Linked DNA regions of Drosophila melanogaster. The protein of the gene in region 2 interacts with the protein of the main gene of each other region in a pairwise test. Each region holds a gene or a part of one and is shown on either strand. Other genes may lie near its edges. The genes, in order: CG9915 and KP78b.

Region 1 (14,495 bases), on a different chromosome or scaffold from region 2:
CCAAATTTCAGGGCATGACCTTGACGTCGCAGATCAAGGAAAAGGTGTCCAGTGCCGAACGACAGTATCCGGATCTTGAGAGCGAGAGTCCTCCGGTTTGCATGCAGACGGACACAGCGAATGCGTCCGCACCAGGATCAGGTGAAACAACCCAAAAGAAGCGCTCGAACAGCTCATTCCAGAAGCAGCTCCTCAAACTTAATGCCTCGCGATCCGTGATCAACACCCCACCCCATAGTCGATCCAAAACAGAGTTTGAAAGAACAATACTGAACGAAAACCTGCAGATGCTAGCGGCAGAGTCACCACTGAAGCTTATTGAGGACGACGACGTCCTGTCCACCAGTATCAATTTCGAGGAAGACCTCAAAATGCTACGCATTCCGATCCTAGACGCGCTAAACAATGCAGAATCCAAGGCAATAGCCGAAGACAATCACGGAAACGTAAACAAAATTGATGTCGTGATTCAGGAGGGTCAGAAAAGTCCACAGACAACAATCGAAAACCGATCAAATGGCAAGAGTTTGAGCCAGCTCCTGGAACAGCTGAAGATCTTGGCACACGAACACGTCGAGAGGTCGAAGTGGCATTTGTTTGACTCGGCAATTGAATCCATTGCCGCGGTCATCTTCGGACCCAGTGGCTCTTGTCCGGATGATAGGAAAGCCGAATCAACTATACCATCGCTATACTCATACACCCGCCAAGGAACATTCGATCTCGAACTTCAAGTAAGTAGTTACATTACAATATAGCCCTTATTTGTAAAGGCATAGATTTCATTTTAATTTCTGTGATATAAACAATCTATTCATTTTCACTGCAAATATCATATCGCTTGATTGTCTTATAACTTACTAAAAAAAATAGCAAAAAAAAAACCCCTAATACAATTTTGTAATTCTCAAATTCAGGGCACAAAGACAAAGCGTTCCCTGGATGCTAACCACATACAGGAGGAGGAGATCGATGTACCAGGCAGTAACGTTCAAAGCTTTCCCGATGCCATGGTCTGTTCAACAGCCACGTTTGATGGCGAATCGCGACTAGATGCATTTGATAAGGACTTGCTTTCATCTCTACCATCAATACCATCAATACCATCGATACCTTCGATACCGCCCGTGTCAGTAGCCAAAAAGGAGCCATTTATGACGGAGTTGGTCGACGAAACACTCGCTCAACAGATTAACGAACTGCTGGAGCGGCACAAACTCGCAAACACGGGGATCAGTGATCATGAACAACAGCAGGGACTTGATCCCAGGACAGTCATACTGTTGGTGAACCCCAGCAACTACAGCAGCACTCAGGTAGCATACACAACGAGCAACGTGGCCAAGACTAAGCCAATGCCTCTACGTGAGACCAATGCGGCGGGCTCAATGCGCCGTCGATCGTCGTCGCTTTCCATTCAGGACAAGTCTAAGCTGCCCCGGGAAGTCCTGAAGTCCGATCGCCAGGTGGAGAATCTTCCGCCGCCCAAGGAGACCAAGAACACAGCCACTGTTGGGCCGATGGGTGCAGCAGCTGCCTTTCGCCAGAGGAGCAACTCCTTCTCCACGCCAAGTAATCCGTCCACAAAGGCCTACGAGAACAGGCGTACTCTAATGAGCAGCCGCTTGAGGAATCCAGCCATAAACGAATCGGTGTCCAAACCCAGTGGAAGTGTTAAGGCGACGAAGCCCATCAAGCCGGTGGTTCCCATTATGAAAGTGACCGCAAGCAACGATTCCACCTACCTGAATCCGTTCCATCCGCGTGTACCCGAAACGCCCATCTCATCGAGGACCAAACCCGCCCAAAACATATCCTGCACGAGCACACCACTGCCACAAATGCGCACCCAGCAGCGCAGATCCCTGAAGCCAATGGCCATGACCGCAGGATCGGGATCCCTGTCAAATACCTCCTATTCGACGCCCAGCATTAGGGGGCCGAGCTTCTGCAAGAAGAGCGGTTCCGGCTAGAGGATAGAGAGCGTGCATTGCGTAGGAATGGGGAATGGGGGAGCACTTCCTTGGCCCGTGGGCGGTGGCGCAATGTCGCCTGAAAGTGAATTCGAATGTGATGTCTGAGGTCAAGTTTTTAACCTTGCAGATAAACCGACAATGTGAAAACGGCTTGGCTATCTCCCCCATATATTTTTGTTTGTTCCATTTGTTTTTCCTTTTTTTTTTTTTTGGCCGACGTCACAAGATAAAGCGAACTGATATGCAGTCTGCACTCCATACTAAACGTTAGCAAATTAGTTTTCGTTTCGAAACGGATTAGCAGTGGAGCCAGTACTTTATATTTAATTTCCACTCGAACTGAACGAACTAATTAGTTAATTTATCTTTGTTAACTACTCACTAACCCACTAAGTTACCTTGCGAACTCATAGTGCTTGAAATCCCTTTCTCATTTCCCTATGTTTTTGAAATTCCACTGAAGTGGAGTTGATTAAAGAAGAGATTTAATAGTAAGCCAAGCATATCAGAAGAGAATAAAAATAGCATTTAAGAGGCAGGTGAAGCCGTTTGACCACAAGTATCCTACGTTTTAAGGATTTGTCCATTGATGTAATACCTAGAACTAGTAGCTTGCAAAGCACACTCCCTATTAATTTCGCTTTTCGCAGCTGTCTTGAAAGACCAGCGAGGAATAATTCAATAAAAAGAGATTATCAGTTAAGCAATTTCCGTATATTTAACGTATGTGGCGCTAGCATATCACAACAATGAAGAAAAAACAAAAAAAAAAAAACGCAGCAGCAAGATAATAATGAGTTTACTGGTTGAGCTTGTTCTTGAGAATGCTCAACTGGGTGAGGCAGTTGTCGCGGTAGTTGCGGCGTTGGGCCAACTGATCCAGCGGCACCATCTCGCCCAGCTGCTTGGCCACCTCGACGGCGACGGGGCCCTCCATTTTCGGTGTCGGTCCCATTGTCTCGCTAACCGCATAGATGGTGTTCGAGTAGCGTTCGAAATAGTTGGCCATGCCCTCGGCATTCAGATGGGCCGTCTCCAGGGGACCCAGGAAGGCGTAGCGCGGTCCCAGTCCATTGCTCATCACGCTATCGATGTCCTTGACATTCAGGATGCCGGCCTCGACCAAACGCCATGTCTCGTTCAGGATGGCATACTGGATGCGGTTGAGGGCGAAGCCCTCGATCTCCCGCGACAGCGTAACTGGTTTCTGGCCAATCTCCTCCATCAGGGCACGGGTCTTCTTCACCCATTCCGGTTTCGTCCACGGCGCAGGCACGATCTCGACCAGAGGCACGTAGTACGGTGGGTTGACGGGATGCGAGACCAAAACCTGTTCACGAAATCAAGCGTAATTGGGCTTAGTCATTGCGGCGATCACATCGAAATCCAAATAAATGCGAATCAAATTGGGCACAAGGACGGCGCAGCTTTAAATTAAAGCAATTGCAGCTAAGAATGTTTCTTAAAACAATAAGCTGTTTGTATGTATTACGATTAACTATTCTTTTTACCAAGTAATCAGCTCAAGGTGGAGATATACTATGGCTCACTAATCTCAAGAATTCAACTCACATTGGCCTTGTTTTTCAGATCCGCGCTGAAGAGGGAGGGCAGAAAAGTGCTGGTGGAGCTGGAGAGGATGGTGTTGGGTCCGACGACGGCGTCCAACTGCTTGTAGAGCGCCTTTTTCAGATCGAGACGCTCGGGGATGCACTCCTGGACGAAGATGGCGCCCTTGACCAGCTCCTTGAGGTCGTTGGTGCCGGAGATGCAGGCGAATTGCTGGGCGGCGGTCAGTTTGCCGCGTAGCAGGCCCTTGGCCTCCAGATCCTGCAGCTCCTTCTGCGTGGCAGTCAGAGCGGTGGACACCTGCTCGGGCAGGATGTCGTACAGCACCACCTGGTAGCCCACCGAGGCGAACAGCATGGACCAGGAGCGACCAATTAGACCGCTGGAATGGTAACACCGCCAGTCAGCACCTGGATATCCTAGCGAATAACAGCTTCCTGCTCCAACTCACCTGCCCACAATGCCAACTTTCTCGTTCTTTGCCGACATCTTTGTTTATTTACTTTTGCCGATTTACTTCGGTGGAGTTGGATTTAAGAAGGAGCTATGGAGGAGCTATTGCTGTCGACCGCCACTTGGCACAGCGTACATGCGTTTGAGCAATTAGACGGCAGCGCAACCGGTTTAATATTCGGCGATAACCACGCCAGAGGTGAACCCAAAAACGAGAACGAGACCCGAGCCCAAGTGTTTGTGGGGTGTTTGCGGACGCGCTTGATGGGTGTCGCTGGAGATTTCGGAGGAGATAGTGGGCCGTGCGATAACAATGCCGCCCCGTTGGGCAATTGGACGATGCTGCCACGCCCACAGCGCTGTATACACATCATTGAGCTGCCGCGTACCTTGCATTTAGTGCATTTAGGCTTTGAATGCAGGCCCTAAAGTTGTTGAAATTATGTATTTTTTGTTAAATACTATATGCTAGCTAGCAAGCCAAGGAAAATGTAAATGATTGTCCAGAAATTGATTTATAATCATAATTAATTAAAAGAAACCCTGCAAGCAACTCAGTTAATTAAACTTATAAAAGCCAGCATTGGTACACTTCATTTTGATAGCTTTTACCTTGGCTAGGTACGCAGGACGGGTACCTGTACCTTTTCCAACCGGTATTTTCCACTCGCGTGGGTGGAAGGGGGGCTGGTTGTGTGTGTGAGATAGTCCATCAAAAGTTCTCAAGGAGCTACCAATTTCCTAGCGGGTGTCACACGACAAAACTGTGCCAAGATGCCCTTAATTTGACTTTTATTAATAATGCCATTTTATAATGTTAGTTTAGCTACTACGGCGGGTATCTTTGTGATTGTCCGTGCATTTATGTATGTATGTACATATGTATTTGCTACCGGCACAAAAATAACCCCGCGAATTGTTTACTAAGCTTTTTAAGCTTTCGCTGTCTTAAATATAAGGCAATAAAATATTGTAAATATGTATGTTTGTAGAGCAAATGGCAATAACTACGTCAAGTATTATCAATCTGATTCGAGCGTTTCGTTGTAAAACTATTCTAAATATACGTTTTTTCAATGCTCTGCCTGTTCAAAATTGCAACCATAGTCTATAGAATATTCTTAAAAAATGTTTGTGAGTTGTAAATGCAAAGATCTATTTGGTTTGTTTAGTTTAGTTTGTTTAATCTCTACTGACATATTTATCACTTCATTTCTTGTGCGAGATATACCTGGAATGGTACAAATTTAACTTTTAGTTTCTCCAATCTTTGGTTTTTTCCACATAATAAATTAAACGCGACGTCTTAAGATTAGAATGGAAAACATGATCTTGCTTTTCTCATTTGCAATGAATATACAAATCATAAGGTTTCTTCGTGTTTTTAACTTAATATGAAAGCAACCAGACTAAAAATATAATAACCTTTGAAAGAGTATACAAAAGTAATCCTCTTGAAGGATTAACGTTTCCATCTTTAATTAATGGTTTAATTGCTCGTTTTTTGTTTAAGCCAGTATGGAAAGACGAAGAGAATCTGATTAGTGTGTTAAAAGTGAAATTTGTATTGCTATTTTGTTGCTTAACTATTTTATTTGTTTAATGTAATAATGCAAAGTGCAGCTAATAATTAAATTAAGTCTACTTTGCAGCCCAACTGAAAGCTGTAATATCTAATCGGTGAATTCGTATTAATTCAATTACACATGTGCATATTTACAACTAATTTAGTAGCTAATTTAGCTTCCTGATAAGATGGCGGCCTGCATGGATCTCCCATCTCTTTCCTTTTGACTTTGGATTCTAGCTTATCGTTTTCAATGCCTCAAATGGACCCGAAAAATTCAAAAGGCCAGCGTTTCTCGCGTTTAGTTATATTCAAAAATATACATTTTTTTTTTTAATTTCGTTCTATTATTTAATTTAAAGTTAGCTAGAATGCTGCTTATAGTGCCATCTTTCGACCCTCTATCGATATCTCAACGGCCCTGCGGCTCTCCTTCAGTCGCTTTGAGTCCAGGAAACGTTTCATGTGCTTCTCGTAGCGGTTTGGCTTGCGTTTTGTCGACTGAAATGAGATTCAATGGAATCAATGAATAAGTGGAGGCGAAAGCCAGGGCTTTATGCTGGACTACTTACCGCGGAGACTTCACCCTCGACGGTTGACTTTGGGCGGATGACGTAGTCCTTGTTGGAGGGCATGGGAACACGAGCGCGAGCCACCCAACCGGGATCTCCGGGACGCAGCATCTTGTCCTCGTTGGAGAGGGTCTGATTTAAGGTAGGTGCTTTGCTGCTGGAGGAAGGCTCTGTATCCGGACTCTTATGCCGATGACGTGACATCTGCGCCAAATCGCGCTCCTGACGCTCCTCCTTGCTCATCGCTGAGAAGTTGCAGCTAACGTTGAATATCGGCCGAGCCCATTCGGAAATCAGGCGACCAGCGCGATCGCGATTCGACTTGGTCTCCTGGGGGTGTTTGTACAAGTACATCACAGCCTTGCCAATGCCCGACTGTTTCAAAAGTCCCTTTTCAATGGTAGGAAACTAAAGATGGAGAATCCACACATTAGAAGCCATAATATAATATATAATAATCTAAGCATGCCACTTACATCTGATAACAGTTTAAGAATACTCTCGCGTATCTGAAGACATGGCAGACTTTTGTTTGGCAGGGGCGCTAGCCAATCTGTAAGTACATTGAGTATATTGTGCTCCAAGAAGGCCAGCTGCAAGTGCTTCTTGATCAGCTGTGACATCACTTGCTTCAGCATGGAAATCTTCTTTGTGGCCGGCTGACCTATCATGTTCAGCTGACGGTCGTCGTCCGAAGCGTTCTTCATACTGACTATAAGCTGATCGATCAGATCATCGTTGTCGTTGATCAGATCAATATCGCGCTTGCGCCGACGCACTCGCTTCTCTTCCTTCTTTCTCATGAGCATAGCATCAAAGTCGGAAATAAAGTTACTGTTCCTGCAATGGCAGTAAATGTGGGGTTAAAATCTATTCGCCTGAAGGAAACGAAGTCTTACTCTGGTTCATTTGAAATTGGTGTGTTCTCATCGTCAGAGCTCTCTGTGATTTTGTCTTGTGATTTCTCTTTGCCTATGCCCTTGTCCTGCTCATCCTCTTCATTGTCTGTGTCCGTGATTTTTACACGCTTCTTTGTCACCTTCGGTCCGTCGTCTACATTGAAATAATACATAAATTAAGGTGCTTTTAAAGTTGTAGCCAATATTTACCATCAGATTCGCTGATGGCCCGTCTTTTTCGCCTGGAAGCTGTCTGGGATGCGGCACTACCGGAACGAGACCGGGAACCCTTTCGCGAACCACCGCTAATGGAGCGGCTGCGGGAGCGGGATCCGCTTCTAGAACGCCTCGATCCGCTCCTGGAGCGCCTAGATCCGCTCCTGGAGCGCCTGGATCCACTCCTGGAGCGCCTGGATCCACTTCTAGAGCGCTTGGAACCGCTCCTAGAGCGCCTGGATCCGCTTCTAGAACGTCTAGAACCACTTCTAGAGCGCCTGGATCCACTTCTCGAGCGACTAGATCCACTTCTCGAGCGACTGGATCCGCTGCGGGATCGTCTTGATCCACTCCTCGATCGCCTGGAGCCCGAACCACTGCGCGAACGACTCGATCCGCTCCTAGAACGTCTGGAGCCACTGCGTGAGCGTCTAGAACCACTGCGGGAACGGCGAGATCCGCTGCGAGAGCGCGCCGATCCACTACGAGAGCGCCTGGATCCGCTCCGGGAGCAAATGGAGCCACTTCGGGAGCGTTTAGATCCACTGCGCGATCGCCTAGAGCCACTTCGAGAACGCCTTGATCCAGATCCACTGCGAGATCGTCTAGATACAGAGCCGCTTCGCGAACGTCGAGAACCGCTCCGCGATGCATTTGAGCGTCTAGAACCGGACCTACTGCGAGATCGCTTAGATCCACTGCGAGAGCGACGTGATCCACTGCGCGATTGCTTAGACCCACTGCGGGAGCGGCGCGATCCACCACGGGATTGCTTAGACCCACTGCGGGATCGCCTAGAGCCACTGCGGGAGCGACGTGATCCACTGCGGGATCGCTTAGACCCACTGCGTGAGCGGTGCGATTGCTTAGATCCACTGCGGGAACGCCTAGAGCCGCTGCGGGATTGTCTAGAACCGCTGCGGGATCGTCTAGAGCCGCTGCGCGAACGTCTGGATCCAGCAGGCGATCCCGGTGCTGCGCCAGAATGACGGGAGCCACTGCGGGACGGAGCGGAGCCGCTCCGCGACCGCCGGGAACCGTTTAGCGACTGCTTGGAGCCACTGCGCGAACGCCGGCCACTGGCTGCCGAGTGCACCGATCCGCTGCGGGACTTATGGGATCCGCTTCTGGAGCGGGATGCGCTCTTCCTGGTAGCACTGCGACTGCGACTACGCGAGCGATCGGCGATGGCCTCGGCATTATCATCACCATTCTTGGGTGCCGGCGAAGGAGACTTGCTCTTGCTCTTCTCTGGCAATACTGGCTCGAAATTGGTTGCGTCGGGATTGGTATCTTGAATTTCCTTTAGCTCCGCTTTTGCGGCCGTGTCTGTTGTGGTCTTCTCGAGTGGCTCGGATAAGGTCTCGGCTTCGTCGCCGCCGGCCTTTTCTGAAAATTAAGTGTATAAAATGGTTAAACAAGAATTTCCATTAAGAATCAATTTGGTAATCAACCTATTTCAGACGTTTCCATGCCGTACTAATTATTCCTATAAATTTTTAGTAGTACACAACCAAATTTGCCTAGTCAGTTGGTCAAACTGCTTTCAGGCTCAAATTAAATAATTCCTGCAATGACTTATAAAATACGACGCGATTTTATTGCTCGGCATTTGTAAGGCCAGTGGAACGAATGGAAACGGAACATCAACGCTTGTGTGTACACATACACTAATGCATACACGCTGTTTAGGGCCCTTATACACGACAAGCCTTTTGTTATCGATAACAAAACTTCTATGATAAGACATCCGAAATAACTTATTCTACAAAACATTTAAGTCCAAAACTTAAATATCAAAATTAAATTTGTTTATGGACAAAAGTCTTGTTTTAAAAATAGACTGCGACGTACAGGTATTCGTGTCAAGGAGTACGATTTTAATCCTTGGAAATCGATAACCAAACTTATAGAAATTGATTTAATTTGTTAAGTCAGAATGAAAACTAGGTATTGCATATATTCATAGTCATTACGATTATGTATTTTTACCGCTGTTTCTTGAATCAAAAATTTATATTGCTTCTTATATAAATAAAATGAATTTATTATCTGAGGATTATTTTTGCTTATAAATTGTATAAATAAATCATTTATCGGAATAGACATGCTACCAACTTTTCCATTCAATTAATCGCGATTTTCGATTTTACACAGTTTTTGGGTTTTAACTACGCTTGTTTAAACAAAAGATATCGAGAATTTAGCGTTATCGAATCGGAATCCACCCACTTGAAATGCCCCATCCCTAAATTTGCCATGAGAAAACCAAAACAATAATATTTTTAAAATTGGTAGACATGAAGGAAGAGCAAAGCTCTATGTGTATGAAAACGCCGATATCAGCTATGGAATACTATTCTTATCTATATATTTTCTATTTCAGCTATGTTTGCCGAGGATATCCTACGGGATTACGGCTCCTTCATATCGGAGCACGATGGGAAATTGAAATTATTGCGAGATAAAGTGCCTAATCGGGATGTTTCCGAGTCTGCACAGTGTGTATATATGTCGCCCGTGGTCGAGGTAAACTTTATGGGCAACGATTCCATGGCTCCGGACAGAAGCTTTGAGGAATCGGAGCTGGTGGCCAATAAACCGCTGACAACTCTGGCGAATCTGTGCAATCAGTGCAGAAATCTGTCCAGGAAGGCAAAACGGTTCCAGCTGGCATTCCTTTTCAGCGACTTTCGATTAGATGATACGCTCCCGCCACATACCCACACATCCGAGGGTTCCGCCGGCTTGGAGGGATCCTTGGTCCGCATGAGCAGCTCCATGGACTTCTTCTGCCAGGTTTACTTCTTGCTCAATCGCATGATTGTGATACTCCAAAACCTTTGGAGACAAATAGCCGCATCTGTTAGCGTCCCAATGGACATCAATGAAGTCCACATATTCGTAAGTCAACGATCGAACTCACATCTCAAGTGTAGTAACCAATTGAAGTCGAAACTTGCAGGCTGTCTTTGATGCAATGAGTGAGTTACTGGAACACATAGTGGTATTCAATGAACTGGCGAACCAATCGAAGATATCCACCATGTGGGCGCTGTACAAGAAGTGGCTGATGAACCTATCCAATAGCCAATCAGCGAACTTGGAGCTCAATGGCCTTAGTACATCGCTAATGGATATAGAGAATCTGATCACCAAGGATTTCTTTCGGGTAAGTCAAAGAAAAACGTGAATGGTAACCGCCCTTTCATGGATATTTCCAAACAGATTCTACTGGACAATTTGATGGAATTGAAGAAGCAATTTGGCCTGAATAGTGTTAGCCCCATCACCCAGCATTCCAATGCCTATATTCGTAGGCAGCTTCTCGACGTCGACGCGAATCCGAGTAACGAACTTAAAAACTATGAGGATCCCAAGCACATTATTCGACTTACCACCTTCGTGGTCGTCGTCCATGAGCTAGGCATCCAGATGGAGGGAAAACTGGTCAAGAATGTGATCGATTTGGTGGCCAGGCATAAGCAGGTGCCTCTCAACCGAAGCGTTTTCTGGTCGCCTTCCGGATTCCTCTCTCTACATGCCAAAACCCTGATGAAGTCTTCAGCCCGATCGCAAGATGGACAAGGCCCAAAAGTTCATAGCACAGTATTGGAGAAGTTTAGGCTTAGCGATCAGAGGACCTGTCGCCAATTGGGCGTCCAACTATCGCTGTGGTCCATCCAAATGCAAAGGGTATTCGATGTGGGAGTCTTTGGACACCTCAAGACTTTTCTGCAGTTGATTCTCAATGGACACTCCTATGCCGATCAAGTTAACCTGCTGGCAGTCGCGCTGATCAATCGGCACGTGGCTCTGATGACGCCCATGACCAGAAACGATTGGATCGTCGTCTCTCGGTTGCTGCAGTACCTGAAGGTCATTCAGAAGACCTTTGAGTCAAACCAAATCAATTTCGTGCGCTTTATCAGCTCACTGATACAATGGCAGAAGCAAAAGGTCATACACCTGCTGCACACAACGAAAAAGAAGATAGTTGTCCTCAAGTTGCTGCAGCGCAAGATCAACTTTTTGGCCACAATAAAGCTGGCCGAGAAGTCCATTATGGGATTTCCGAGCAAGCAACGTTTGACTTTCGTAAATCTAGCCCTCGGGGAGTTTCTAGATAATCGCCTCCTGCCCGCCGACAATCAAAAGTTGATCAAATCGATCCTACATCGTGTTAATAGTATCAGCGACATTATGCGGAATATTGGTGGACAACTTAACACGTCGGAGTCCTCGAGTCTGGTATATAATCACTGGTTTCTGGACACTTCGGTGCTTAAGGAGTACACCGAACTCCAACGCAATCCCTACTCCTTGCAGGTTGGTTTCTTACTCAGTTTCTGGCAAAGCAACTTCATGTTTATGCCATTTATCATCGGCAGAACCTCGTGTCGGTGAGCCATCATCTGGACAAGATCATGGCCATGTTCAGGGGTTCAAGGTGTCCCAAGCAATCAGCGAATGACTTGATCATTGAGTTTTTGAGCAACCACCTGGAGTTCTTTCTGCGCGTGGAGGCCCTTTCGCATCTCTTCCAGAGCCAGGATCAACCATTCCAGCAAAGTGCCTTAGACTATCGTCTCTGCATCAATGCAGTTGCAGTTGAAAACGATGGTGATTACAATATTATAAAAGGTAAGATATCGGTTACAAAACTGAGAGATCATGCCATTCATTAACATATTTTAGATCATCTTGAGAACTATTTCACTGCCACGTTCTACAACTTAACGACAATCGCTCCGCACGACTGGAAATCGTATGAAAAGATGCGTCATTTGGCCAACAAGGTGCTGCAGCTGCAACCCATCGATGACCACCTGCCCAATCAGATAATTGACCAGGTAACCAATTGAATCATCAATAAGCAATCTCTTCTATTAACCAAACAATTCTTTCCCACTTTCAAGGGCATAGACGTGCTGCAGATCATGCGGAATATACACACTTTCGCCTCCTCGTATGCCTACAACATGAACCTGCAGGTGTTCGTGGAGACGAACAGCAGGAGCAAGCACCTCGACATCATTGGCACCCGGCACGTGGCCAACTCGGTGCAGACGCACGGCACCGGTATCATCAACACCACCGTCAACTTTATATACCAGTTTTTGCGCCAAAAGTTTTACACCTTCTCCACCTTCCTCCACGACGAGCAGATCAAGTCGCGGCTGCTCAAGGAGCTGCGTTTTCACACGGAGCACAAGCACAGCAAGTCCTATCAGTCGTATCCCTATGAGCGCGCCGATAGTTTTCTTAAGAAGATCAGAAGGCTAGGCTGCTCCAGCAATGGCGAGACGTATATGGATCTTTTCAGGAAGGTTATCACACAAGTCGGTAGGTGGTTAAAGACCATAATTCAAGAAAATGCTTAAAATATAAACGTAAATATTGCTTTTAGGCAACGCTGTTGGCTATGTGCGCCTCCTGCAGGCTGGAAGCAAGAATGCCAACTTCCGGAATCGCTCGTATAAAACCAGATTCGACAGCAACTTCAGTTGCGGGGGCTCCAAAGTGCACGAGGCTACGGAGGGTTCCATCAGGGAGTACGAGAAGAGCCTGGGTCACATGAAGGAGTGCTATTCCGATAGCACAAATTACTTCAAGGTGCAGTCTACGATCTTAACAAGTTAGGTAACCAGCTTAACCCATGGATTTATATTGCAGCTTCTTCTGCAAGGCTTTCAGCCCTTTTTGTGCAATCCACATAACCACCACCTGCGAACCTTCTACCTCATCACACCGGCGCTCATCATGAACTACATTGACTACCGGGTCAAGCAGAAGCTAAAGATCTACAAAAAGGACCAGACCAAGATCTCGCTGTTCGAGGATGGCTTCGCCATCGGCCTGGTCTACATCCTCAACATGCTGAACCAGCAGACGGAGTTCCATGAGCTGGGCTGGAGCCAGACGATCACGCAGCACCTGAACGCGGAGCGCTCCAAGGTGCGCGACATTTTGGCGGGCCAGCAGCGGACGGCGCCGGAGCAGCTGGACGAGAAGCTTCACCAGACAGTGGCGATAACCGAACGACATGTGAACGCCTACGAGCATGAATACAATCTATTGTACGCCACCTTGAGTAGCTCCGAAATATTCTTCCAATAAAATATGTCCATTTACCAAAACCAAAGATCCCAGCAGTGACAACAAACAATTGAGTAGTTGGTTGCCGTTTATTCAGATTTATTAAGACGAAAATACAATTCCGATTCCGGTACATAGCGTAGAACGTTGGTATATATATATATATATGCAATTAGATAATCAGCATTACTAATACTATTATTAGTAGTAAGTAAGCCAACATCAAAAGATCAAACATTTTTCTAAGCCCCTCTCGACTCTTGTCGTCTCATTGTTTTTCTTCTTTGTTTTTTTTTTTGTGAATGGAAATGTTAAAGTTACAGATTTAATGCATATTATATAGCCAATTGAACGCTTTCTGACATTGGTGGGCACTAATTCTATTCACTTTTGGCCCCCACATACAATTGATTGGCCAAAGGAAACCCAACATGTCTATTGAAAATATGTTGGTTTGTTATGTATTTTTCTCGTAATATTACAGTACAGTAATTGGTAAAAAAAAATGTTTTGGAGAAAATGCAAATGGTTTTCGTCTTAACAGATTTTTCTTCTTGCAATGTTGCTGTTGCTTTTGCATCGCACCTTCTTAAAGAGAACCAGAGTTAGCCACAATGATCTTCTTGGAGGTCTTGCCAGACTGCGATCCATAAGATTCGATCTTCTTGACCACATCCAGTCCCTCGACGACCTCGCCGAAGACGACGTGCTTGTTGTCCAACCAGGCGGTCTTCACAGTGCAAATAAAGAACTGGGAGCCGTTCGTGTTGGCGCCAGCGTTGGCCATCGACAGGATGCCGGAGCCGGTGTGCTTCAGCTCGAAGTTCTCATCGGGGAACTTGTTGCCGTAGATGGACTTGCCGCCAGTGCCGTTGTGGTTGGTGAAGTCGCCGCCCTGGCACATGAAGTTGGGGATGACGCGGTGGAAAATGGAGCCCTTGTACCCGAATCCCTTCTCGCCGGTGCACAAGGCGCGGAAGTTCTCGGCGGTCTTGGGCACGACATCGGAGCGCAGCTGCAAAATACAAACAAAAGGGTAGAAATTTCGTTAGTAAACAAGAAATTAATGCTAACAAAGTATGACTCTTTTTCAGTTCTTCAAGGTTTGTTTATCCGAACTCGGATGACCTTGCCACTACTTTTT
Region 2 (16,574 bases):
AATCATAACTGAACAGTAGATAAGATTGGGTGATAAAAGCAATTAGTGTATTTCTTATTTGTACTCGATGGTTGATGTTGATATAGATAACATATTGAAATTCAAGAATAATAATGAAAATACTATTTCATTTGCCAATGTAATATTTGTAATGAATCAGAATGAAAATCCATTTGCGTACGTACTACAAGTGTATCCAAATATCGCAGGGTTGTATTGAATAGATCTTTCTTGTTTTTTGTTCGCCTATTTCGGACATGGACAAACTATTGCAACAGATCAGCGGCCGAGCAGCAGCCAGGCGAGCAACAAGATAATCAAGTGTAATTTATTTCGTATTTGGTGCGCGCCATGCATGAGTTCGAGCACCACGACAAGTGCGAGTATGAGCATCTGTGCGATGCCATCTAGTTCGAGTATCTAGTATTTAGTATCTAGAGAGAAGCACCCACACACATACACACGAGACAGCCATTTAGTATAGACTTATATAAACTAGCAGGCGAATCAAGCCTCAGCCCAACCCCCAAAACTAGACCGGATGCACGAGCACTTGGCGTGAGGCGATCTGAGTCGATTTGGACTGGTGTCACGTCTCATATGGCGAAATCATTCAAGCATCCCATCCATTGCACTATGCTCTGGTCGGATCTAGCTTTATTCGGATTCGTAGCTATCTCGATCGCTCGACTGCAGTGCACTGGTCATGCCAAGGCTCTAAGCTACACTTGAAATATTGGGTTAATAGAAAACAATGCAATTAAAGTGTCATTATCATTTACATTCAGTTCATATATAGGCTTCAGTTCATATATTAAAATTCGCCAACAGCTTCCATTTCATATCCCATTTTATGTTTACTCTAGTATATTTGCGTTAGTTTAAGTCAACTTGACTACTTTTAATTATTTATTTGTTGTATAAGACAACAAGACTCGCATTGCCCGAAATTATTAACGATATTGTCAAGTGTAAGTCCAGGCGGAAGCTCAACGCTTTCCACTTTCCCACGTGCTCCGGTCCACAACAAGTGGTCGAGACACACCCTCTGTCCACTAACCCATCCCCTTTTCCCAACCACACCGCTCCATTTCCATTTCCACTGCCACATCCACTGCCCATTTCCCCTTGCCATGCAGCACGCACCAAAGTGGCCGAAAGCAGGGGAGAGCCAGCACAAATACGTATTAAAACGTTAATAATATGCGAGGGCCTGAAACTCATGACAGCTTCAGCTTCAGCTTCAGCTACAGCTACAGAGCCTCAGCCCGCGAAAGTTGCCGGTTGCGATGAAAAGCCGCAGACAGCGGAGCAACAGCCGGCCAGGTGAAGGTGCCTACCTGCCTGCCTGCCTGTCCGACGCAAATCTTTCAAGAGTAGTTCCGCTTTTTTGTTGTGTCCACAGTCACGGCGACACTTCCGCTGGTGGGTCATTTTAAAGGTGGTAGTGGTGGTGGTGTGTGGGTGTGGGTATGGAGTCGGTGGTGCCGGGGCATGTGTCACCAAGAACTGGCCACCTGAGCTGCAGTCTCTCCCCATCCACGCACTGATTTCGGCTCTCTGATTATCTTCATATTGTTTACAATTAAAACAATGACGGCTTTTCCAAGGGGCGGAGGCGTGAAATGTGCGGCACATACCAAGTTGAAGCCTCACTGGGCTCCCAACTTTCAACTACCGACCGACTGCCGACTTTTGGTAATTACTTTCGGGCCGGGCGGAAGTGCTCACCATTTTGATTGCTGTTTCCTCGACTTTATTTCTTACTGCGTATTGGCCAGTAATAATAATGCCCAAAGTTTCCGTGGGCTGGGTCCAAAGTTTCGTTCTGCCAGTTGAGCAGACTGAATGTTAGTTTGGATTGGTATAGCATGGTAGGCTACGATTGTTTCCTAAAGTGGTCGGGGTAGTGGGTGTATTTCTTTGCGCTTCCGTAAGCAGCAAAACGGTATTTTTCTATACTCTCTAGCCGGAGGGAGGCGGAGAATTGATTTCGCCGCGCTTCGCATTTGTTGACTTGACTCAGACTGCTTGATTTAGGTAGGGGAAGGGAAGAAGGCACCTCTATTATATCTTATGAAAAAAGCAGATAGACGAACGCCTATTGGTTGTCTTTTTGGGGAGAGAAAGACTGAAGAGGAACCTCCTCCAGCTAAAGGAAAATCGGAAAGTTGAGCGGGACGTCTGCGACCACAAAAAGTTTGACCAGGCCGAGCTCTAATCAATAAATCACTTCAAGGTTTTCTTAATTAAAACTTTTCCCTTGCACCCGACCACAAAAAGACTTGTCGAAACATACTTGTAGAGCAAAACTTTTTACACAATCCATGGGAAAAAAGGACATAAAAATTGATTAACTACCGGGCGACCACAAAAAACAAGGACGAGCGCGCAAGCAAAGTTTCCAACCCGTTCCAATAAGAAAAAGTTTCGACTTGAGCAAGAAAAGTGCAAGCCAAAGAAGACACACCAATAAGGATCGGACCAGGGATACGAAACTATGGCACATAAAAACTGAAAACTATTAAGCGCTTAAGTCAGCCGGAAAATGAGACAAAATAGTTGGCCAACTAAGCTCCGGCTGAGCCACCAAGTTGAGAAATAAGCGAGACATTAATTAAGGGTTGCGGCATAAGAAAGGAAATCATTATGGAATGGGTCGAAACGAAAAGAACACTCGAAATCGCATAGGACTAATTGGCAAGCGCGAAAAGAACAATGGTAAAGAAAAAACCGAGCAAAAAGTGAAAGATGAAAAGCCTGGAAAATGTTTCTTAAGCGACCGCAAAAGGGCCGGTGAAAGGAAAAATGTGAAAAATCAAAGGAAGCGACGGCCCCACTTGACATTTCAGCAGGTTAAGCTCGGCTACAGTTTCTTGTGGCACTTCTTGGGCCGTAAAATATTTACCCAGGGTAAACAATACAAACCGCTCTGGGGGCGGATGGCTATGGAAATGGGCGAACCTTTTGTCACTACCAAATCTCGGCTGGCCGGGAAAACTTGGCTATTGACATAATTGTGGGTGGCAGTGGCCCAGGACCAAGAACTCAGTACTCCGTACCCAAGTCACACTCAAGGCGTTGCCGGCAGACACTTGAAGGCGGTGCTGCGCTTCCCCCCGAAGAAACGAAGACGAATCCACCCTCAATTAGACGTGAAGAGCCTTGGCTTACACTTGGCCAATTTGGCACCCAGTCCACTGGATAAATGGGTTTAACTTGCAGTTACAGTTAAACTTCCATTTACACGCTCGTTACGAGTTGTTGCCGCAAATTAGCCCAGGCTCTTTGTTCTGCGAGACGTTGCTGATTAGTCCTAGATGGCTTTCTTATTGGCATTTCCGGGCGAAACTTTTACTGCATACTTTGAGGGCATTCCAATTGGAGTTGCGGCGTAAGGATGAGGATGGAGTGCTTGCATAGTCTGTGGAGTGGCTATCTTATCGGATTCAGTCCTTGATAAACCTCAACTGTCGCCGTCTATATCTAATCAATGACGCGCGCTTTTAGTTAAATTATTGACTCGACCTGTTTGCATAGGCACTTTTATATGCTTCAAGTACTATTTCGATTTATCAGCACCATCTATATGCATATATCTCTATCCATATCTATAAATGCGAGTGCGGTTTACCCTTAAAGCAAACAATCGAAGCTCTGCTCCGTTCTAGTCCCATGCAAATAGACCGCGAGTAGTTTTGTTTGCATTTCGGTTTCGAGCCCAATCTTATCAGTCGGAAGGATGGCGATTGGGATTGGAAGGGGGCGGCTAATTGTGGGATTGGTTTTCCAGGAGTGGGCATGCACATTAATGCACTAGCTGGCTGTCTAATTTATGTGCGACCTGTTACTTGCTTACAGTCACCTTCTTCCGCCAGTTAACAAATTAAACGCTCTGCTTCCGCTCTCAATGGGTCCAATCAGTCCAAAACCACCCTTTTAGCCAGGTAACCCACTCCTACCGCCATCCCTTTTCCAACTCGGTTCCCACCAAAAAATACATACATAGTCGTCGGCCCTCCTGCGGAATTTCCCGTTTATTGGTTTCTTTCCGGATATTGTTATGTTCGGCTGTGAACGCCTTTTCCTTCCGCCGCTCGACGCCTTCAAATTACCACCCCCAAACCCCGTTGACTAACCTGTAGTAGCGGGTCCTACGTAGTTCCTGTTGTTGCCTCGAAAAGTGCAAAATGATTGCGGTTTCGTGTTGCTCAGGGGTGCCCCTCCACCCTCGGCTATTTCCACTTGCAACCCCCACCCTAAGCTCTCTCGCCGCTCCATTTAATGTCGAAGCAACACGCAAGCTGAAATTGTTGCTGCTGCTTTGTGTGTGACCCTTTTAATGTTCCACACAATTGGTTAATGTTTCTTTCTTTTAGTGATCATAATAGAACAATTAAAAATCATGAGTAAACCGTTTTTATTTTTACGCTGTTCTTATGTTAACTAGCTAATGAGAAACAGTACCAAACTTTATACATATAAACGAATTTAAAATTTATTTATTTTATACTTCTATCGTAAAATGTAAAAATTATGAAGATAAAGCAATTGTTAAAATATTATTTTATTTGTTTTGACAGTCAAGTTTCAAGATCAGTTCAGAACGATCACCTTACATATGCCATCAACATTTATTTGTTATACTAAATTTAAGTCGTTTTAATTAAAATACCATTTAGACATAAGGTGGATCGATCGTCCATTCGGGAGGGCTGCTATATCACTTTCGATTATCTGTGCAGGAAAGAATCCTTTTGGGATGCGCTAAACTAACACCTTGCTATTTGGTAAGATTCCTGCCCTGTTCGCTGATGTCCTTTTCGCCCTTGTGGAGTGATCTTCTAACAAAGCGTGCGGACAGCTTAGAGAAGAAGCCAACTCGCGTGGGACGATTTGTGTTTTCGGTGGATGGTGGAGTCTGGCTGTTGGATGCCACCAATTTAAGAACCTTTAGGGGAGTGCTGGTCGAGTCCAGCATTTCGAAATGAGTCGGTGGTGTTCTGGTGCATTCTGAAGCTTGACTTGGCGACTGAGTAATGGGACTCCGAATTTGGTGTGATGCGCTTGTCAGCTTTTGGTTTACAGCCAACTTTCGTTGGGCACTCAGTAGAGTTGTCTTCACATCCACTGGTGAACCGACTCCTTTCTTGGGCATCGCAGATTGTGGAATGCTGGACGGCTCGGAACGTCTGGGATTGGCGGCTTTGCTAGCAGAGCAGCAGATGTATTTTTTGGGCGGTGGTGTCAATGGTAGCGGAGTGAGGGCATTTGCCAAGCGCGGAGCCATGGGACGTATGGAAGTGGCGGCAGGCCTATTCGGTGTACTCTTGTCCAGTGCAAAGGTCACCTGGCTTATAGTAACATTGGGAGCAGCTATAGGGACAGGAATCCGACTGCTGCCTGGCATAGCCGTAGGAGTTTCCCTAAACGAAGATCCCGATTTCTCGCTGCAGGCTGTTGAGCGCGGTTTAGCAACGTCCAGGAGCATATAGGTGCAATAGATGTCGTCGAACTTCTGGTTCTTCAGCGACTGCTCTACATCACGAGGTTTGTGACCCATGTTCGACAGCAAACTCAATCGATTTACATCATGCAGATCCATAGGTTTCTCTTGAAACGGTCTCAAACCGTTACCTTGTTCGTAGCCCATGTTGATCCAGCGATCCGCCATGACAGCCGATAAACTAGTACGTTGCGTTGGATTCAGAACGAGGAACTTCCTAATAAGACTCTCGCATTCAATGGAGACGTAATACGGAACACGATACTTGCCACGTAGAACACGGTCGCGGAGCTCCTTCAGATTGGTTCCATCAAAGGGTAAGGAACCACTCACCAAGGTGTACAGCACCACACCCAGTGACCATGAGTCCACCTCCGGTCCAGAGTACTTCTTTCCTCTGAACAGTTCTGGGGCGGCATACGGTGGACTTCCGCAGAACGTCTCCAGTGGCGCTTTTGGTTCAAACGTGGTGCTGAAACCAAAATCAGCGATCTTCAATTTCATTTGCTGGTCCAACAACAAGTTCTCTGCCTTTAGATCCCGATGCACAATGGACTTGCTGTGACAGTATTCAATAGCAGACACCAACTGGCGGAAGAGCACCCTGGCATCTCGCTCCCGCATCCTTCCGTTTTTGACCAGATAATTGAAGAGTTCTCCCCCGCTGACATACTCCATTACCAAGTAGAGAGTCCTTTCCGACTCGATAACTTGCAAGAGGCGCACAATATTCGGGTGGTTGAGCTTTTTCATTATATTTACCTCTCGGTACAACTTCTGCCGGGCAATCGTATTTAGCGCAGTTTTATCGATCAGCTTAATGGCCACTTCCCGACCGGTGGGCAGATGAATCGCCAACTTGACTTTCGCAAAGTTGCCCTTCCCAAGGGTCTTGATGATCTTGTACACTCCGTAGCCGTTGCCATTTACATAGGACTGAAACTTAGGGCTCGATCTGCCTCCACTGCTCCCAAAACATCCCCCCACATTCTGGGCAGCTGCAGAAGGGGGCGTGGCGGTAGTGGATATCGATGTATTGGGACCGGGATCGTTCTCCTTGTCGGTCGTTTTGTTTGTGTTTGCTGCCGTCATTTCTGGTAGGATTAATTTATCTAAATCCCAGCAAAGCGTTCGCCGCACACTTGTAAGACAAACTGATTTGCTGAGTTTTGACTTAATTTCGTTAGAATGCTCGGTCAGGGCCGACTGTATCACTTTCTTTATCACTCTATCATTCTATCTCTATCACCTTGACATTGCCCCAAACAACCCGACTTCTGGCTATTTGGTGAGGTTCTTGCGCTGCTCGGTGACATCCTTTTCGTTCAAGTGGATTACCCTTCGACCGAAACGTGCGGTCAGCTTGGAGAAGAAACCTACCCGCGAGGCGGGCTTGGTGTCGTCCGCGGATAAGGGTGGCGTCTGATAGCTGTCCTCCTCTCCGCCTGCGCCATTTCCTGATCCACCGCCCCGTTTGCCACTGCGCGCTTGGCCGAAATGAAAAGTGGCCCGTGCCACATTTTGTCGGGTGAAGGGCTTGTCGGAGGTCTTTTCCACTGCTCCACCTCCGGGAATCCGTTCTAGCAGTCGAGCACCCATGGCCGGCGACTTGGGCACCAGAAGTGGAGTGACTGCAGGTTCCGCTTTCTCGTACAGGGTCGTGGGCCGCCTGGAGGATCCCTGAGCTTGATTCGGAGTTTGGGCAACGGGGTACTGGAAGCGCGGAGGAGTGTTGGCCAGCTTTTGGGTCTGGGCCAATTGTCGCTGGGCACTCAGCAGCGTGGGCTTCACATCCATGTTGGCACTGGCTCTCTTTGACTGCGGAGTGTGCGGAAGACTCGAAGGCTCCGGACGTCCTTGGCCGCTCGTATGGTTGGTGGCCTTCCGGGCTGGTGTCCTGGCTGGAGTGCGTCTTGTGGGCTTGGCAGGCGGTCCCGTTGGTGGCGTTGAAGTCGGTGTATTGGGTGCATTTGCCAAACGTGGCGCAATGGGTCTACCCGATGCTGAGGAGGAGTGGATGGGCGGATTCTTGTCCAGCGCAAGCGTGACATGAGCTATGGTAACAGTGGGTGTGGTGATATTAGGAAGCGGGCTACTGACAGCTGGAGTAGTTAAATCCACTGTTGGTATAGCCTCCGGTTTCGTACTGCGGTTCGAGGAGCGCGGCTTGGCCACGCCCAGGAGCATGTATGTGCAATAGATGTCGTCGAACAGTTGCCCCTTTACAGACTGCTCCACATCACGGCGCTTGTGGCCCATGCTCATCAGTAAATCGAACCGGGCTGCATCCTGCAGCTCCATGGGCTTCTCGCGAAACGGACGCAATCGGTCGGATTCATCGTGGCCCAGATTTATCCACTTATCCGACATCACAGCAGAAAGCGAAGTGCGCTTGGCGGGATTCAGGACCAGGAACTTTCTCATTAGGTTTTCGCAGTCCATTGAGATGTAGTAGGGCACACGGTACTTGCCCCGCAGGACTCTTTCCCGCAACTCCTTTAGGGTGCCTCCATCAAAGGGCAGCGAACCGCTGACGAGAGTGTACAGCACCACTCCCAGCGACCAGGCGTCCACCTCCGGGCCGGCGTACTTCCTGCCCATGAAAAGTTCAGGGGCAGCATATGGTGGACTCCCGCAGAACGTTTCAAGCTGGGCGTTGGGATCGAAGGTATTGCCGAAGCCAAAGTCCGCTATTTTAATGTTCATGTGCTGGTCCAGCAACAGGTTCTCCGCCTTCAGATCCCGATGAACCACAAACTTGCTGTGGCAGTACTGAATGGCGGACACCAACTGTCGGAAGATCACCCTGGCATCCCGCTCCCGCATCCTCCCGTTCTTCACCAGGTGGTCGAATAGCTCGCCACGACTCGCGTACTCCATCACCAGGTAGAGTGTCCTCTCAGACTCGATGACTTGGAAGAGGCGCACGATGTTCGGGTGGTTCAGCAGTTTCATGATCTTCACCTCGCGGTACAGCTTCTGACGTGCACTCGTATTGAGCTGCGTCTTATCGATCACCTTGATGGCCACTTCACGACCGGTGGGCACATGAATCGCCAACTTGACCTTGGCAAAGTTTCCCTTACCGAGTGTCTTGATGATCTTGTACACACCATTGCCATTGCCATTTACGTACGATTGAAACTTGGAATCCGTATTTTTACTACTACATGCACCGTCACCCAAATCCTGGCCAGCTGCCACAGTAGGCGTGGCTGGTAGGGCGGTGGCATTTGAGGTAGTGGGCGTGGCTGGCTGAGCAGTGGCGCCTGTTGTGACGATAGTACCCGTGAAATGGGAATCCGGATCGTTCTCCTTGTTTGCTGCTGTCATTGCTGTTTTCTCACTCTCCTTACCCGAAGATAAGTCTAGAATTCCCAAGCTGTTGTCCACGGACATTATAATACTGGGAATTTTGGAGCTCCTAGTCTGAGGTCGATTCTGATTGCCCAGGCGAACGTTGCTCCTATTCAGTGGATCTGCAAGTGTGCCGAGCACGCGTCGTTGGATGGTAACTATCGCCTCCCCTCAAGCTGTAATTGCTGGGTTTCGTCGGTCATCCGTCATCGGGGCCGTTGTTTGCACATCTGCTCTATTTCGTCACCCTCCCGACAGTCTGAGCTTTAAGATAAGAACGCGTGTTTGCAACCCTCAGCCACCCCGAATCCCGTGCATGGCTGATAAGCGGCTCGTCCTGCTCCTTGCGGCAGGATCACTTTGTCTCGACGCACGACCGCATGAGTCGTTAGTTCTTTCAGGAGGCGCTATCAACAACCCCCTGCTTCATGTGGCACGAGCCCTTTGTGATCCTCCGGTGCGATCGTGTGCCCCTGTTGTTCTTGTTTGCGACTGGCGAGGATATATCCCAGCTGGTGGTATTCGGTTTCCTTCGTCAGCGAGGAGTAACAGCTGCCTTCTGGTGAATGGAGAGAAGAATGATTCGATTAGATGTTGGAAGTAATCGGAATCGGGAATTCAATGGTTGCTCTTTATAGAAACTCGGTATTAGGGTAATTTCGTTTCAAATGAATAAAACTAATAGTTAAATGTACATTTACAACCGAATTAGCAACCTTTTTTTTTTCAGTGAAAATTTGTTTATTTGACTAGTCCCAAATTATAAATTGTAAGGGAATGCCAAAAAAAAAACTATCAAAAATATGACTTATTTATTATACATACGAATTTTTGTTTGCGAGAGTATATATTTTTATCCGTATTTTTCTAATCACTAAGAAAGTTCACAGAAACATTTGAATATTGCATTACAGTTCGTATTTGCTCTTATCGACAAATTTTAAAACTTGACTTGTATTCATAATATAGTGACGATCTATCAAATTATTTCTATAGACCTTGCACCACTGTGCACTAAGTGATTTGCTCTCTCCCCTAACAACAGAATTTCAATCGACCTGAAAAACTAATCTCTTCCCTTGTGACAAAGTATTTTCTTCGCCTCTCTGTTCTTTCAATTTTATTTTTTGCATGTCCTGCCGATCCCTAGCTACACTCACACACGCACACACACACATGCACGTCATTACCTATGATGAAACTACCCTAATGGGTTTTACCTACCTATGGATGTATTGTAAAAAATAAAGTACTACAAAGGAACGGGTCCTTAATCTGCCTTTTCTTTTGGCCTACTCGTTCGCTTGCATTTCTCTCTTTTGCTTTGCGTTTGTGTAACGATTTCAGGTTTTCTCTGCCTGCTCCTTTGTGTGCGTGTGTGTGTGTGTGTGTGTAAGGGCCTGCGTGTCCTTGATCCTGCTGACTTGTTTTGCTTGCAACCTTTTCTCGTCATCCCTGCTTTGCCTTTTGTCTGGTCTCCTTTTCCTCCGGCTCTTCGCTTCCTTTTTCAGCTCCTTTGCGTATCCCTCTCTCACTTACGGTATTTGCGTATGTGTGTGTTTTTGAGTTTTTGTGAAATGTTGAAATTTTGAAAATGCAGCTGCTACTTTTGGGTCTTTGTATTTATTATTTTTGCCTGCTCTTCTTGTTTTGCTTCCCCTATCATCTTCTTTTCTCTTTTTCGCAATAACAACATCGCAGATCTGTGGAAATTTGCAATAACAACAACAGTAACAACAAGTACTTGGCTTGGCTTGGTTTTAATTCTGGGAACTGTGATCTCTTGTTGGGCTAGTGATCGCTCCCCTTTTGCCGCCAAGTTCAATGCACCCCACCTAGAGTTACCCCCACTTTTCCCACCCCACACCAGACCCCCCTCTCTCTCTCACACATTCTCTCGATTTTCCCAAGATACCAACACATGTCAACATGAACATGTGCGGGTCTCGGTCTCCCATCTCGTTTCCCCCTTTTTCGCCTTTGTTTTTCTGCCTGTCCATGGGATCTTTGGCTTGTTTTTTCCGAATGCGCCTCTCCTCTCCTTCCTTCTGGCTTCTTCTATTTTGATTCTGGTTCTCTGGCCGTTCTTCTTTGTTTTTTCCTTAACCACTGAGTCATCGGCGACTTTGGGGATCTTCAGGCGCCTCATTCTGTCTGGCACTCATTCGTTAACACACTTACTTCGCACAAAGCGATACAGATACATACAGTTGATCCATTAGCTGACCTTAATAAAACGCCTCTTGTATTGAGATCCAAAGAACGCCCCCCTTAAAGACACGCACAACGGACGCAAGATAAGGCATTCTGGTACCCAAGGGATACGATCGGACTTATCTGACAATGGATGCGAAACTCTGGAACTCACAGTGACCACCGCGTGCTTGCTTAATTACGCTCTTTACTTACGCATCGGTCCATTGGCGATCCCCCCTGGCGGCAATCAAAAACGAATTAGCGTTAATCCACTCCACAAGTGTACCATATCGTTTCGTATCCGTATCGTTGAGCGAGACCGAACTTTCAGATACAAGGCGCGCCGTAGTACTGAAACGCATTGAGCGGAATATCTGAAGACAGGTCTTGAACTGGAACTGAAACGTCTGAGACGGGCTGAGCAAAGAGAGAGCGAAGAGCGTCTTTGTGCTCTTCTTACGCTCAAAAAAATGGCCAACTGATTGCGATCGTGTGCTCGTGCAGCGGATTTGAAAAGAAACGCATTATTAAGATTTACGCCTGCTTCAACTTTTCTCTTTCGTCGTCTTTAAACATAAAATTTAAAAAGAGAAAATTAAAATTTTAAGCAGTTTGATTTTCTCTCTTTCTTTTCACTCAATTTTTGAATTATGTTGCTCTTCCTTCTCTCAATATCGTTTCCTTGAGCGTTTCTTGAGGTGTGACGTCACGGATGCGAAGGGGAGGCACTTCGGGTGTTTCGTGCTTCGTCTTTGTTCGTCTTTGCGGCGAATTTGGCCTTTGTCGTGGTCTTCGTCTTCGTTTGAGTTTCTTCATTGGTATGGGTTATCTTGCGGTGGTGGTGCTGGCGACTGCGATGGTGTATGTGTGCCATCAAGACTTCCCCATTCGTCGTCAACAGCTGTGTCGTCATCGTGTCATCGGTGTGGGAGTAGCCGATGGCCATATCTGTCTGAGCTGTCCGAGTGGTATTGGTGCACCAATAAGAATCGGCCAGTGGTTCCAGTGCTTCTTGAATAACAGCCCCATCCCCCGCGACCATCTCAACGCAATCCGTTGGAGCGCTCTGTTTTGGTAGGGAATGATTAAAAAGTCACCACAACAAATAACAATAATAATAATAAAATGCATTTCTTTTGGCCCGCAAAAATTTCTTTCATTTGGGCATCGCTTTGGCCGGCTGAAAGGAAAAATTATAATGACAAAGTAGGCGACAAGAAGGATTGGATGGGTGGGTGTTGGTTGGTCCGATTGTAGACGTAGACGATGATTATAATAACAGTTTTCTGTGATTTCTCCTCGATTCCCGATTCGTAGTCCCCTCCTTGAAGGCAGGGCTTAATTAAAAAGCTTTTGGCCATTCACTTGGAACAAAAATTAACCCTAACTTCAAGAACATTTCCATTCAAAGTGCATATCGTTTGAAGGCAAGAAAATGAGAACTTTTAATTCATCGCCATATTCAAGCACTTTCATTTCAAGAATTAAAAGTCAACTTAAAAAAGTGAACTTATTTGAAAGAAATTTTTGCTTGCCAGTTGGAAACTAACAATATTCTCTTGGCTTTGAGATTCGAAATTGAAGGTGTTTTGGGAATTTTGGTGGGGGAGAATTTGCATTTAGATGAACCGAAGAAGCCAAGACAAGTAGGCCACAGTGAAATGCTAATGAGAAAGCGGGTAATTCAGCATGCAGTCGATAAGGCGGCTGCCTTTGGCAAAAGTATCCGCCAGATACACGTGGCACGCACACCAGCTGACGCCCCAAAAAATAGGTGAACATAATGCGATCCGACCGACGAAATCACAGTTGGCCACCAGAGGACACGCGCCACCTGATCAGGATGCGATATCTTTCTTCGGCAATATTTGATCGTGCTGAATGCGGAAAAAGCAGATTGCAACTGCAGCTGACTTCGAATGTGGACAAAGGGATCTTCGGCAAACAAAGCAGCCACAGGATATGCGATACAGCCACTTTTGCACATTGCCCCGATGAGTTATGGACTCCAGATTGCGGACCCGAAAAGGGCAGCTTCTTGACAGACAAATGCGGGTGCATATCGATTTCGACTTCGGATCGGCCGGAACGATGACTCCTTGGGCCGTGATCTGCATTTTTGCGTCCTTCTTGCCGCATCGCGAAAGGTGCAAAACGAAGGACGAACGTGCCGCAAAATCTGTGCGGCGACTTAGGTATTTAATTGGGTTTTGCGTTTCACTGTCGATATTCAATAACAGCTGGCTCTCGGCTAAATACACAAATTAACCCATTCAAACAATGCCTTCTTGGAAAGTGTCAAATTCAACCTCCGATCAAGGACCAAACAATGGCCAACCAAATGAGGGAAACCAAAATGCATAGTATATACATTTATGCATCCCAGACAATAAACGAAGAATCACAATTTTCAGCTGTCAAAGGAGGGGGTAAAATCTCCCGATATTCATCAAGAAAACGTCTGATTTTCTCACCGTTTTCCCGGGGCATTTTCGTCAATCATTTGTCGACCACTTCAGCCCTTTGGTCGTGGCAAATCCTTTGCACTTACTTTGCATCGCAGTACTCTGTTCAGTTAGATCGTTCATTCATCCATTCATTCACCAATCCATCCATTCCCTCTACCTGCCATTGTCAAAGAGTTTTCCTTTCGATTTGGTCGCAGTTCCACTGCTTTCTAGCTTTTTGTTATATTTTTGCATAGTTTTGTCGGCTTTGTTCCTTACCGGGAACGGGGCGAAGACTGCTTAGGGATAAACAATATTAGCTGACTGAAGGATTTGCATTCGGCATCCCATTGTCCTGACGGCGACCCGAAGAATTGTCAATAATATTTTGCCCATGCGACAGTTTGCCCCCATCTCCGCCAAATGCAACACTTCTGCTTCTGCCCACATTCGGAATAGATAATGATGGAACTAATCCTTTGCCTCTCACCAGAATCGCGATGGCTTCGCTTGCCTTGGATTGGCCTAATTGAAAAGCGGCGGCAATAACAGGGACAGGCTCAGAATAAGAGGCAGGCACATAATGCATTTCGGCACAGCAATTCGGAAAACTGAAATCTGAAATCTGCATAATGCAAGTGCATCATCTCATCTGTAGCATGTGTGAGTGCACAGAGAGAAACCTTTTGAAATTCAGTAATTATCACAAGCAGAGCGAGAAAGTAAAGGCAGACTTATGTTGTTAAATTGACTTTTTATTTAGGATTTTTAGGATTGGTTATGCTTATTACAAATAATATGTAACTAATTAGAAAATATAAGATATATACTACTCAAGCCATTTTTTCCTTAACAGTTTCTAAGTTTTCTAAGTGTAGTTGTGGCCCATGTAGGAGGCGCCTGGGGACCAGCTTATTAGCGAAGATTGTCAGTCAGCCGCCGAACAACAACGGCAGCAACAACAGAAATTGATTACCAAATGTGCACGGCTTTCGAGTGGTTTTAGCCTGAAATGGGAGGCGGTTGGGTGAGAGGCGGTGAAGGGCGGATAGGCTGGCTAATAAGCACAAAAATCCACATAGAGCAGCAATTCCTTTTAATTGAAAATCTCTCTCTCGCGAGCTTCCCATTTTCCCAATTTACCACATTTTGTTGTTTTCATTTTCGCAATTTCTTTGCGGCTGCAGTGCGTTTAGTTGATAGGAGGGCGGGCAGAAGGGGCGTGGCTGCAGCTCCAAATGCATTCGATATTGCATTTTTTTCTCCGCCAACATGCAAGGATAATAAGGACTTTAGCCAGCTTGGGACTTTTTTGTTTTCGAGCTGTTTCACTTTTCTCTTTTTTTTTTTTGTTTTTTGACTGATTGACTTGCGAAGCGGACGCTTAACCATCGCCTACTGCTTCATTTCTCACACCATTCGGCGTTATCCTGGCGAAGTTGATTGCAGCAAGGACTTGCGTCTACATTGCGGCCCGAAAAATTGCATTGGATGCATTTGCTGGGCAAACAAACTGCCGAAACAAGAGTCATGAAAAAAGTTTAAGGGCCCCAAACTCGTGGTACTCCCGCTCCGCGTAAGACTCGCTGCATGTGCAATGCATATTAGCCGAGTTGTGTCCTGAGTCCTGCGACCTGCGTCCTGAATCCGGTGCCATCCTCGGCCTGTGCATTGTCCTTTTGGTCGAGCGCCTTTCCCGCCTCCCGCCTCCCTCCTCCCACGGTGTTGGGTTTTTTCTGCGGCTGCCTTTTGTTTGATTTGCGAAATTGCAATATGCTGGCTGTCTGGCTGAACTCGTCTCGTCCTGGTCCTTCGGAGACCCCACCCCACTCTGACCCCCTCTGCATACGCAGGATAACTGCAGTTAGACTGCAGTGGCAGTGCAACCGGCTTTTACCAGGACATTCCTATTTCGGGGTTAAAATCTATAAGCTTTGCTCACTCCCCTCTTTGTGCTTATTAATTAATTGCAATTGTATACACAATTTTTGTAAATTGTTTATAAATGCTTTTTAATCTGTACATTTATTTTTAAATGGTTGTCAGTTCAGTTCACTTGATTCTTATATCGGCCTTGTTGTTATTTTTTTATATACTAATTGTACAACTAACTAGACTTTTTAAACGCTTGACCTATTTTAAGGTTGATTCTTACGATATCAGACATCACGTTTGAAGCAATTGATTCCTTTAGCTATAATATATTTACCCCTTTCGTCAACTTTGCTGCTCACTAGCTTGTCGAAAATTCACTTGTTCAAATGACAGATTATCCCCATAAATATTTTAATTTGATTCATTTGCAACCACTCGTAGTTCAACCCCCCAAAGCGCTGCAGCTCCTTCCCCGATCAGGTTGATGTCCGGTCCCCGTTTCCAGCAAAATCTTTTAATTCGAGTGCGTTTTTCATCATCCAAGAGCGGTGGCCCCGCCACTCCGCTCCGCTCCATTCCTCAGTTCCCTGTCCCTTGGCCAGATTTCCGTTTAGGTTGTGGCGCACTGAAAGTCTTGAGGCTACGCCGGAGACCCTTCAACCGACTGCGCCAAAATGCACTGGACGTTGGTCACGACGCGGAGCAGAAATCAAACAATCAAACAAAATGAAATCGCCGGTCCGCCCCTTTTCGCTCCTCGTCTCTTGTATTTTTCTCCCCACTGCTGTAATATTTTTTTGGTTTTTTTTTTTTTTTTATTTTTCTGCTGCTCGCGAGTTTTTGTTGGCTTTGTTCTGCTGCTGCTTTTGTGCACACGCCCCCTCAAAGTCCAGTTTTGCAGTCATCAAGTTTTGCCAGCCCCCTTCTCCTCCTCGGTGGGGGTGGCAGCATATAATACCCCTCTGCCGGCGGGCTTCCGGCTGCCCATGCTTCTTTGGCATGTCTTCGCTTCCGTTGCATCCGTCCATCTTGCCCGTCGCCGCAGTGCTCCACTCCACTCCGCTGCAGTGGCTGCCAGACGAAGGAGCCACCCTTCGAGGACTTTTCCAACCCCCCAGAAGCAGCAGAAGCAGCGGCAGCAGCACCGAAAACTCCAACTCGCCCTCTATATATTTTATTTTTAATTAATTAAT

What was found.
Region 1: the proteins of KP78b (region 2) and CG9915 interact in a two-hybrid assay, tested with the Drosophila melanogaster proteins (one large-scale study listed by BioGRID).

What each region holds. Positions count from the first base shown.
Region 1 is NC_004354.4:16,304,242-16,318,736, forward strand, and holds CG9915 (uncharacterized protein), read right to left. Parts: upstream 8,898-14,495; 5' UTR 8,726-8,897; coding exon 8,707-8,725; intron 8,642-8,706; coding exon 7,247-8,641; intron 7,191-7,246; coding exon 7,037-7,190; intron 6,978-7,036; coding exon 6,614-6,977; intron 6,546-6,613; coding exon 6,138-6,545; intron 6,067-6,137; coding exon 5,944-6,066; 3' UTR 5,576-5,943; downstream 1-5,575. Other genes in the region: CG3679 (uncharacterized protein), read left to right, coding at 12-734, 918-1,973; Had1 (beta hydroxy acid dehydrogenase 1), read right to left, coding at 2,776-3,306, 3,549-3,927, 3,997-4,034; SWIP (strumpellin and WASH-interacting protein), read left to right, coding at 9,641-10,156, 10,218-10,424, 10,481-11,581, 11,644-11,896, 11,951-12,105, 12,172-12,598, 12,663-12,868, 12,929-13,372; Cyp1 (cyclophilin 1), read right to left, coding at 13,941-14,366.
Region 2 is NT_033777.3:11,341,741-11,358,314, forward strand, and holds KP78b (KP78b), read right to left. Parts: upstream 11,392-16,574; 5' UTR 11,273-11,391; intron 9,423-11,272; 5' UTR 8,906-9,422; coding exon of another isoform or gene 6,788-8,905; 5' UTR 6,599-6,787; coding exon 4,784-6,598; 3' UTR 4,554-4,783; downstream 1-4,553. Other genes in the region: KP78a, read right to left, coding at 6,788-8,905.